3 linked regions of the Rattus norvegicus genome follow. The protein of the gene in region 3 purifies or fractionates together with the protein of the main gene of each other region. This does not show direct contact. Links are inferred from orthologs where the notes say so. Each region holds a gene or a part of one and is shown on either strand. Other genes may lie near its edges. The genes, in order: Orc3, Orc4 and Lrwd1.

Evidence for each region.
Region 1: the proteins of Lrwd1 (region 3) and Orc3 purify together in Homo sapiens (affinity purification with mass spectrometry; 4 studies listed by BioGRID and IntAct, with this or other methods). This does not show direct contact. The link is inferred for Rattus norvegicus from reciprocal best matches to the Homo sapiens genes LRWD1 and ORC3.
Region 2: the proteins of Lrwd1 (region 3) and Orc4 purify together in Homo sapiens (affinity purification with mass spectrometry; 3 studies listed by BioGRID and IntAct, with this or other methods). This does not show direct contact. The link is inferred for Rattus norvegicus from reciprocal best matches to the Homo sapiens genes LRWD1 and ORC4.

Annotation. Positions count from the first base shown.
Region 1 is NC_086023.1:53,929,331-53,932,978, forward strand, and holds part of Orc3 (origin recognition complex subunit 3), read right to left. Parts: intron 2,712-3,648; exon of another isoform or gene 2,523-2,711; coding exon 2,443-2,522; intron 964-2,442; coding exon 863-963; intron 1-862. UniProt on the Homo sapiens protein: Component of the origin recognition complex (ORC) that binds origins of replication. DNA-binding is ATP-dependent. The specific DNA sequences that define origins of replication have not been identified yet.
Region 2 is NC_086021.1:53,739,747-53,743,494, forward strand, and holds the start of Orc4 (origin recognition complex subunit 4), read right to left. Parts: upstream 2,519-3,748; 5' UTR 2,417-2,518; intron 2,383-2,416; exon of another isoform or gene 2,217-2,382; intron 1-2,216. UniProt on the Homo sapiens protein: Component of the origin recognition complex (ORC) that binds origins of replication. DNA-binding is ATP-dependent. The specific DNA sequences that define origins of replication have not been identified yet.
Region 3 is NC_086030.1:26,165,547-26,169,294, forward strand, and holds the start of Lrwd1 (leucine-rich repeat and WD repeat-containing protein 1), read left to right. Parts: upstream 1-1,101; 5' UTR 1,102-1,220; coding exon 1,221-1,300; intron 1,301-2,554; coding exon 2,555-2,789; intron 2,790-3,206; coding exon 3,207-3,323; intron 3,324-3,748. Other genes in the region: Alkbh4 (alpha-ketoglutarate-dependent dioxygenase alkB homolog 4), read right to left, coding at 873-992. UniProt on the Homo sapiens protein: Required for G1/S transition. Recruits and stabilizes the origin recognition complex (ORC) onto chromatin during G1 to establish pre-replication complex (preRC) and to heterochromatic sites in post-replicated cells.

The sequences.
Region 1 (3,648 bases), on a different chromosome or scaffold from region 3:
ATTCCTTTTCACACCTCACCTGCTGACCAGTTTGAACTGCCTTCATTTAGAAACAACACCTTTCCTACTTTCCTTTCTACGCAGGGTCTCAACCAGTAGTGTGATGTAAAACCTAAGGTCATGTTAGCCTGGAATACCCAGTGATTTTTCTTGTCCTAGCCTCTCAAATGTTGGGGTTACAGGCATGAACCTCTATATATTTTTTTGTCTTTCTTTTTTTTTTTTTTCCGGGAGCTGGGGACAGAATCCAGGGCCCTGCGCTTGCTAGGTAAGTGCTCTACCACTGAGCTAAATCCCCAACCCCCGAACCTCTATATTTTGTACTGTTTTTAACTTGTTAAGTCCTTTTCTTTGGTATACTTAACCTTTTTCAAATCTGTAACATGGTTGGTTCATTTTATATACACACAAAAGCTGGCTTTTGGGAAAGACCTAGAATGATCTAGGGCTCATAAGCAAACTAGATAGGAGACTTTGACAGCTGCTGAATAGGTGCTGTGTAGATTTGGTACTGATACTTAGTTGTCCCGATAAACTATTTAGAACAAAACTAATAAAATGGCTAGTGTACAATGTCTGTTTCTACTACAGGCAGAAAATGGTTAGAATAATGCAAAATTGAGAAAATACTCTGAAACACATTTCCTCACCTGGCCTAATTGGCTAGATGAAGTTTAAACCTGCCTTCCTGAGCTGACAGTAAAAACTAAACTAAATCATTTGATTGGACAAGGACAGAAGATCAAGAAAAGTACTAACTCTGATCAGATGGCAGAAACACTTGGACTGGCTGTGGATAGCGAGTTTACTGGGGTCATGGAAGAACAGGATCACTTTTAGCTCCTCAGAGCGTTAGACTCACCTCACCAGGTTGTCGATGAAGTTTATAACATTTTCTCTGAGCATTTCAAACTTGGTTGGCTTCTTAGTTGTTCTCCTTAGCTCTTTCATTTCCAGTAAGGACTACAGGGCAGAGTGGGGAGTGGGTTAAAGTATGCCGTCTTTGACTTAGGAACAGAGTCACTCTGAGCTGTCACTAATGTGGAGTCAGCTGATGCCCTTTACTTAGAGTGCAGACAGAACCAGATCAAAATGTGCTTTATTTTCTGTTAAGAATCTGCCCCTCTGTTTTGCTTTAAACATAAGCCAAGTGAACGTTCACGGGAAGAAGTTTACCTCACTGCGCAGTTACACAGGAGTGTTCACTTGGAGCATGAGGAAGAGTGCGGGAGGATGCGGAAGAAAACCCCCATCCATCCCCACCCACCACAGCCTCGGCCACAGGAGCAGCAGGCGCAGAGTGCAGTTCCACCCAGACTGAAATTCTGTGGCACATTTTAACTGGGTGAAATGGAATAAGAAGGCTCCTCTGGCAATCAAGTGCTCTTTTACCCTATGAGTGTTGTTTAAAAAAAAGAAAAAGGCTGAGATTTGTAGTTTAGTGGTACAGCTCTAGCCAGTGGTGACACACCCTGGGTTTTCTTCTCAGCACTATTGGGGTGTGTGTGTGTGTGTGTGTGTCAAATTTTGACTTAGAGTCTCCTAACTCTGATCAAAAAGAGAAGTATACTATATTCATATTCTTTTTGTAACCCATGTTCCATTTCCCCTTTACAGTTAATTCTGTCTTCCTTAAGGCTTCAGAATTGTCTGTATTCTGTCAGGTAGACTGTAGACTGTGCATATATAATGTAGGAAGATAGTGAGACAAACAGAACTGTAGCACAGAAGGGAGTCTACCTGTAGGTGGAGATGGGCCACTGTCTTCTCCCTTGAGAATTAATTCAATGGAGGGCCTGGCTGGGAGGCTTCCCTAGTAAGGCTGGTTCATTTACCTTCTTCCAGAAGTTCAACATCTTATGTAATTAGTAAAAACCTCCATGAAGTTTGCCTGGGTTTGCAAGTCTTTCTGAGTACTGACTCAGGCACGGTTACTCCTTTTTCTTTCGCATGCTGGCCAATAAATGTCCTAATCCTCTGGGCTTCCACAGTCTCTACAGATACGCTCCCTGCCACAAGGCTGCCTGCTGCCACACCAGCCTATCCTCCTCTCGGCAGCTTCGACGGTTACTGCCTAGCTGCTTTGTTGGGGCGTGGGAGGGACTTTAAAATAAAGCAACAAAACCTAATGAATTGCTGTCCAGCTTGTTTGGGCACTTGGTTAATTTTTTCCATTGGTAAGAACAAGGACACAAAAGGGATTTTGATTACAGATGTCTCCAGTGTCTCCATAGGAGTGGCCTGAGAGTTCCTGTAATACTTCAGCCCCTTCCTGCGGCTTAGATGGCATCAGGATGTCTGAGTTACTAGCTTCAGTCTGCGGGCATTGCCTCGGGTTGCGATGTAAGATGAATGTGATGACATTCTAGCAGACCGATTCTAGAGCACCAGTTACCACAAGGGAACCACCCCCAGTGCGGCTGGAGGAAGAGAGACCCCTACCTTCTGAAGGTGGTACAGGTCCGTCTTCTGCAGCCCCTTTGGCTGTGAACCACAAGCATCCTCTTCCTCTTTGCTATCTGCTTTGGATGCAAAACCAATACACAGCAGAAAGGAGGCATTGGAAGTAGATACATGCTTCTTTAAACATGAGCAAGCCTGCCAGACAAGTGAACTCCCTCCAGAAGCTGAAGCCAACACACTGCATCGTTTATATGTAGTGAGGTCTTCACCAGTAGCTACCGAACTCTCAGACTGTTTCTAGCAAAAGCCTATATAAAAAATGGTACAGACTTGAAAGTATCTTCCTTTGACCTAAGATTTCAAGCACGATCAGCTACATTCTGATAGACCTGCGCTAACCTTCCACTATACTACTTTTGATTCATTCTGTTTAGTATAAAGAAGTGATATATAAAAGCTTCAAGGAAGATAAAGTGCTCACTGATATAAATGTATGGCTGTGCTTCAGGAGGATGTGATACTCTCTCTGACTGACTTGGGAACCTGACAATGGTTTGGTTCAAAAATAACATAAAAATTTAGCTAAAGAATATACACTATTCTTATAGAACCAGAAGATAATTCCTGATTTTAGAAAGTTTTAACCTAAGGTCAGGATAACTACTAGCTAAATTCTTTATTCCATTCAATTGCCATGTAACAGAACCGTAAAATTGATTATAACTCAGCCTAATTTAACCCTCTCCAATCTAATTCTAAATTAAAATACATCAGCAGTGTAAAGAGACCATAGGTGGCAAATAACCAAATATTTCTTCTTGTGAGAAATTTTAAATATACTTTGTTATTAATAACAATTTTTTTTAAACCAAGAAAATAAAGACAAAATTATAAGGATGGTGGTTTTGTTTTAATTCATAAAACATTCTATTCTTTATACTGTTGTCAAACATTTTAATTTTCAGCCATTCCATTTGAAAAGTGGCAATCCTTTAGTGCTAGTCTACCACAGGATTTGTTCATTAGGTCATGTTACATGAACTCCAATTAAAATTATGGTATCTGCAGTTTCTTTTTTTTATAGAATTCCTGAGACTATTTTATATTCTTCTATATCTTTGGCCTTATTTATGTCCTTAAGAGTGGCTTCTCTTTGGTGAAACTACAACTGTGAACTGATCTTATACACACTTACACACACACACACACACACACACACACACACACACACACACACACACAGAC
Region 2 (3,748 bases), on a different chromosome or scaffold from region 3:
TACTGATACCAGAATCCAGAGGAACTCTAAACCATGACCAAGAATTCCACCTCCCCCTCCTCAGAGTAGAAAAGCAGACAAACCATAGGTAACAAAGTAGTTCTTAAAAAACAGTTCTCTTTAAATGCCCAAAAAAGGTGCCAAAAAGACAGAAATGCAGGACATTAATCAGAAGAAAGTGGCCAAGATATAGAAACATCTATGTCAATACTTATAGTTAAGAACACTGCTGTCCAACATAAATGTAAATTCTAATTTAACATTTCCTAGTATATTTAATAAAGCAAAACAAAGTAAAAGTAGTTAAAATTTTAACAAGCAAACATAGTGAGAAGCTGAGGTATTTTACACACTTTTAATATATAAAATGAAACAAAAACAACAACATCCTATAGTAAGTCATACAACATTTCAAGTGCCCAAAAGCCACATAGGGCTAGTGGCAGTTGTACTGTCTAGCACAAGTTGAAAACCTATGTCCTGGAGTTAAAGTTAAATATAAAATTCAAGAAACAATAACCACATATAAATTTAGAAAGCTCACATACTATCCAGAAAGAAAGTAATACTCCAAGAACAGACTATCTGCCATAATGCTACAAATGTTTATGGAAAACAGCAAAGTAGAAAAAAAATACACAAAAGACCTAAAAAGGATAAAAGACAATTTATGAATGAATCCAAATAGCCAGTCAGTTTCTGAAAACAGGCAATATCCTCAGTACAAAACTTTACTCAACACATTGCAAATTATACACTTATCAGATGGGCAAAATTAAAAGAAAATTGTTGGTGAGAAGGTACAAGCAAGGATCTATCACACCTGAGGTCGGGGTATAGAATGGCACACCAGTTTTAAAGTTTGGTGAAACTGTAGACAGCCATATACAACTCATAAAAATACACAGCTATGTTCATATGAAAAATTTTATTTAGATAATCAGATTGTTATGTAGTTATGTAGATCATTTATTAGCAAACAAAAAAAAACAAGTCAAAGTTCATTAAGACTAATTGTGGCTTAGTTAAAAAAAAAGGCGTTTTATACCTCAGAAACTCTTATACAACAACGAAAATATATAAATTACAGCAAAATATATCAACAGGGGCAACTCTCAGCTTTGTAAACAACGGCTTCCTGCATGCTCTGCCTTATTAGGATATGTGAACTACTACAAATAGATAAAAAGAGGCAAATTAATATTTGTTTAGAAATGCTGACACACATTTTTACTAAAAGAAAAGCAGTGAATCACAAGAATCAAGAAAATATTAAAGTAGCACAGGAGGAAGAACGGTCTGGAAGCTATTAGTGGGCCTGTGTTTGCCAGCTGCTACCCATGTTTTGGGTCTTGATTCATAGTGGTTACAGGTTATGTTACAGTTGTTTATTACATCTGTGTTTTGTGCACTTTTCCACACATTTAGGCCCTGACACCAAACAGGACTTAAAAGTTCTAACTAGGCCATAATAATTGGGCGCGTGTGCACGTGCGTGCGTGCGTGCGTGTGCGTGTGTGTCTGTGAGAGAGAGAGAGAGAGAGAGAGAGAGAGAGAGAGAGAGAGAGGTAATAGTTTTTTCAATAACAAGATTGAGATTTAACTGACTGAATCCTACGGAGCAGAACTAAAACAGTTAAGACTAAGAGTAAGTTCGAAGATCTTTTATTTAAAATTTTTTTAGGAAACTTAAATTATTAAAGACGAAGTAATTAATAATCCTCCAAAGTATCTAGACAAAAACCAACTAAAAGACTAATGAAGAAAGTGAAGGTGAAGAAAAAAAACGTTATTCACTATAAAAAAAAAAAGAAATACCCAGATAAAAAGCTTTCTTTTACACCACAAGAAAAGAAAATTTCAAGGTTTTTGTTTTTTAATGACAAAACTCAGTATGGAGGACCACACAATCTCAAGCATCCTCAAACGTGCAAGTCTTTTGTGTTTGCAGCATTAAGGCAGAGCATTCAGGGTGCTTTCACTCAAACCTTTCCTGCCCGTTCCTTGCCTACAGCTTCTGCAAACCCTCAAGGAATACAGAAAAGGAAGGAAGGCAGGATGTGAACATAGCCAATATGAGCAAAGTACCGTAGCAGCTGATCCAAAATTCACACATCTGGTTTGGTTTTTCCAAATAGGTCGCAAGCTCTAAAGCAGGTAGTGCTTTTCTCTGCAGAGAACCCGGTCTCTCGACACTGACCAATGATGTTCCTCACCTACAAGTCTTCTGTAACCGGTCTTTGCAGAATTCTGCACTGCTCAGGGTTTCGTCCACAGCATCTCCGGGAAACCAAGAGCCAGGCGCAGGCTGCCTGCTTTAGGCCTATTGGGCCTACAGAAGCCTCCCAGTCTCCTTAGACTGTTCACCCGCCAATGGCCACTACGGCCCTGACTTTGCCTAGGAGACCAGCCTTACCTCTCTCAATAAAGCCTGCCTAAATCGGGCAGCCTCCGCCGACTGTAAGGACCCAGGATTGTTCACCGCCTTCCCAGCTCTGTTTCACCTGCGGCAGCCAAGAACACACAGCAACTCCCAGCATGCACCGTGCTCGGCCGGCCTGCGGCCCCGCCCCGCCCCAACACGTGACCTCCTTTTGCCTCGGTCCACGCCTACTTCCGTCCCTCCACTTTCCCTAAGGAGGGAGGAGGCAGCTGGGGGTGTTAAAGAGTAGCAACTTCCTCCCTCTTCCCGCCCCCGCCCCTCTACCCCCTGCTACAATGTCTTCCGGGTCGACAGCGCCTTGGAGCCTTCTGGGAAAACATCTCATTTCCTCCCCTCCCCCTCCTCCTGCCTTCAACCAACCAGCCTCCCGTCAGAAAGGGACATGCGCAGTGAGTGCCTCCCGTCTCTTCTACCCGAGCCCCCCCTCCCCCCCAAGCAGAGAGACCCCAGCAGCAGCAGCAGCTGATGATGAAGAGAGAGGCAGTGGCAGAGGGGGGGCACCTTTTATTTCTATTTTTAAAGGGACAGGACACTAATTTTACCCCACTTCAACCTTGAATTGAGGGGGGTGGGGGGAAGACGGCTGAGTTCCTCCCCCACCCTCCAGCTCTGAGCCCTGAGTGGGGGATTGAGCCTGAGAGAGGAGAGGAGTTTCTTCTTCTTAGAAAACCCCCATCCACGACTCCTACCCCCTCAGCCCCTCTACTCGCCTGCTTCCAGAGCCCCCTCCACCCTCCTTCTCTTGGCCGTGAGAGAAGGAGAGAAAGAGACCAAAAGCCTCTTAGCAACACAGACCCTTTGCTGCTGCTGCTGCTGCTGCTACTGCTGCTGTTGCTGCTGCTGCTGCTGCTGCTTGGCCCTGGCTGGAGACATCTCCCTACACCGGGAGCAGCCACTTCCCCAGCTCTCCTCCTCCTCCTTTGCCTCCTCCTCCTCCACTCCCCCCCTTTATTACCCTTTGTGTCATCCTCCACAGCTCCAGGGAAGGCACTCAAAAGTGGGGGGCAGGAAAGGTAAGTGTGTCTGCGGGGGCTCCATTGCCTTCCTCTGGCTCTGACTTTCACTCCGGGGCAGCAGTAGCACCAAACCTCATACGCAGTGGAGCTCCGGGGTGAGGAGGGGGTGGTGCTGGGGGGTGAGTGAAGGAGGGGCCGGAGTGAGGAGGGGTGTGTGAGGTGGGGTGTCCACCCTGTCAGGGAAGGAAGGACACTTTTATTTTTATTTGCTGTTGTCAAAAGTGGTTTCTCCAGCTAACATCTGATTGTGTCTTGCTTCAGTGGGGGAGAATACAAAAACAACCCCCTC
Region 3 (3,748 bases):
GCCTCTACTCAAGCATTCCCCTGGCTATGCACCCCAGCAACTTGCTACAGGGCTGCCAGAGCCATTCAAATGGTTACTTTTTATTCATTCATTGCCCATTTCCGTGGAAGGTGTTAGCCAAGGTCAACAGAGGGCTAAAAGGAAAACATTTTAACATCCTTCCCGGCCTACCCATCTCCTGACCCTATTACTACCTTGTAAGACAGATTTGTTTTTGTTTTTCAAGACCGGCTTTCCTGGAACTCCCTATGTAGATCAGGCAGGCCTGGAACTCACAGAGATCCGCCTGCCTCTGGATGCATCACCACTAGCCGGCTGTAAAGCTGATTCTTATAGGTTTGTTTTCCCCCGAAAAAAAATTTCCCCCAAACCAAAGTCTGTGCTGTCTTAAGTCGCTCACTCCCTGCCTGTCTTTCTTCTCTGGCTTTCATCAGAATTTCCAATACAAACAGCCAATCCCTACCATTTCCATGCGGACTCCTTTGTGCTCCCGAAGCACAAAGACTTCCAGGTATTAACTCCAAGTTATTTGCTACTGCCCCCCAGCAAAGTCATAGAGGTGATGTGTTACGGCTGCTTCCCTACTTCCAAGGCAACTCTTAAACCTGCTGTGTGGCTGAGGTTGGCTTCAACTTCTGACTTTCCTGCCTCTCGGCCTTTCAAATGCAGGGATCTCGTCGTGCATCAGCATTTCCCCGCCCTTCCCTCCATCAGTTGATGACACTTGGGAAGCCTCCACCTTTTGGGTTTTGTGAATATTGAACATAATAAGCGCTTCAACCAACTCCTTTACCGCGAGGTTTTGATCCCTTGGCCTCAGTTTCCCATTAAGATGAATAGATTTCCTGGGTATGACTTTTCCCAGTTCGTACCTGAAGGGAGATCTGCCAGGGCGGGTCCCTCTGGAGTCGTCTCTCGCAGATGAGACAGGTCCGGATACCTTTACAGCCGCACTCCTGCAAATGAGAAACTTCAGCCGCTACAGCCGCCATTGCACCCTCGGAGCAGCTAGGGCGCAGGCGCAAGGCACCGGGGCCTCTGGGAGTTGTAGTCCTCGCACGCAGAAGCAGGGGTTAGGGAGTACGGCTGGCGTTCTGCTTCCTTCCGGTCCCCTGGACTCTCAAAGGGTTTGTTGTGCGCCACCTCCTGGGCTCCCCAGCATCCGGCCTTAGTGACCAGACTTCGTGGAGGCGTGGGTTCGGTTGAGCCCTCGACCACCCATGGCTCCTCTCACGCCGCAGCTGCTCCTGCAACGTGGGCGACCCAAGACCGACAGGCTGGGGAAGATTCAGAGTCTGAAGTAAGAGCAGACGGGGTTGAAGCGGATCGGAGGCGTGGAGTTCTTTCCCGCCCCGGTGGTTTAGTGGGCGGAATGCAAGACTCAGACTCCTCTCTCCCCTCCTTCTGTCCCGGTTATTCTGTTATCTGGGGTTCGGGCCCTAGTCGAATCTCTATCTCGCGCCTAACGGAGATGCGGGAGATTAGCAGCCACATCCCGGCGTCCAGTGAACCTGGAGCGAACGCCTTTAGCCTTGCGTAGAGTGGAAAGATTGTTGAGCTGTTGAAGAATCCTGCTCGGAAGGGGCCAGCAGGACCGAGTAAAAGCAATCAAGGAACTTGGAAACCTCGGGTTCTAAAGTCGTTATGTGATCTGGTATTCGACGGCCGGGCGCAAGACTAACGTCATGCGTTGGCAGCTAGCCTGGGCTGTGGTATGAGACCCTGTCTCAAAAGGAAAAAAAAAAAAAAACTCTTCTTTTTAAAATTTCGAGACAGGATTTGTCTGTGTAAAAGCCCTGGTTGTCCTGAAACTGGCTTTGAAGACCAGGCTGGCCTCGAACTCACAGCGATTCCCCTGCCTCTGCCTCTTAAGTGCTGGGATTAAAGGCTTGTACCACCATGCCCAGCAATAAAGGATTCTTTAAGGGAGGGAAGGCGGGCCACAGAAATGATCCAGCAAGTAAAGGTGCCTGTCACCAAGCCTGAGTTCAGTCCCTTGGACCCAGACAGTGGAAAGAGAGAACCCCACTGGAAACCTGACCTACTTACTCACACTTTAGACTGTGCCCATTCACACACACACACACACACACACACACACACACACACACACACACAGAGAGAGAGAGAGAGAGAGAGACACAGACACTCTATAGTAAATAGAAACGTAATTTAGAAAGCGAGAAGGCTAGAATTGTTAGCACAGTTCAGTGGTACATTGCTTACTAGACATGCACAAAGCCTGAGTGTCCAAAGGGTTCCATCCCTACCAACGCCTGAACGGCTCCCAAGGGGTGGCACATGCCTGTCCTTCTAGCACGTGGGTAGAGGCAGGAGACTAAGTTCAAGGCTTTCCTGGACTACACAATGAACGTTTTGAGGCCAGCCTAGTCTACATAGTTCAGGATAGCCAAGTCTGAAAAAAATAAATAAATAAGCCCATACTTGCACAAGAACTTTCTTGGTGGAAATTCCTCTGGGACAGAAGGGGTGATGATCAGTGGGAGGGTCTGGCCCTCCCCCTGAGCTCTCTCGATCTCTGCTCTCATCCCAGTCTGTCAGGGCTGGAGCTGCTCTCAGAACACTTGGATCCCAATCTCCTGGGACGCCTGAAGAAGCTGAAGGAACTTGACCTCTCTAACAACTTGCTGGAAACATTGCCTGCTAACCTAGGCCTGTCCCATCTGCGAATCCTTCGCTGTACCAACAACCAGCTAGGGGACGTCACCACCTTGCACCAGTTCCCGGAACTTGAGGAGCTCAGTCTGGAAGGCAACCCTTTCCTGACGGTGAGAGGAGGGAGGGTTCTATCAGCAGGATGCTTAGGACCAGGATTCTGTGAGGCAGACACAGACTTCACTCTTTCTTTTATTTGGTTTCGAGACAGGGTCTCATGTAGCACAAGCTGGTTTCAAATTAACTGTGGATCCATGAATAGCCTGGAGCTCCTGATCCTCCTGCCTCCTGAGTTTTGACCATGTTCCACCAAGGCACGGTTTATGCAATGCTAGGAATCAGACTTGGGGCCTCGCGCTTGCTAGGCAAAGCAGTCTGAGCAACATGCCCACCCCATTTGGGTTTTTGTTGTTTTGTTTGTTTGAGGCAAAGAATCTTGCTTTGTAACCTAGACCAGCATCAAACTTCCGAACGTTGAGATTAATGGCATTGGTCATTACTCCTGGCTTTCCCTTCTCTCCTTCTGTTAGGTCAGTGACAACCTCAAAGTCTCCTTTCTCCTGCCCAAGCTGCGTAAGGTCAATGGCAAGGACACGGCCTCCACCTGCTCACAGGTAGAGAGCCTAGATCGGGAGCTGACCAACAGGGTAAGGATGATGAGGTGGGGGTAGGGTCCTTGGTCATATCAGTTGGGTATTGAGGGGGACAGAAGTAGATTTTTGGAGGTGTGTGACAGAGATCCTGGCCCAGACAGCCTCAAGTCTGAAGTGTTGAGTCTGGTTTTTTTTTTCTTCCTGTTTGGAGACCCTGTCTCGAAGGTCTCCAGCAAGCACAGCAGGACACCAGGGAGGCTAGACTCTGCAGTGAGCTATTTTTTTGGACACAGGGTCTTGCTTATGTAGCCCAGATGTCCCAGGATTCCTCTGCCTCAGTCTCCCAAGTTTGTCATCACCACCATGCCCAGTTGAACCAAACTGGTTTCAAGTCACGTGACTTCAGTTTAGGCTGGTAGCAAAATAAGAGGTCTTGCCCACAGAAGTTTCTAGAAGGTGGCGTAGTCATTATACTGTGT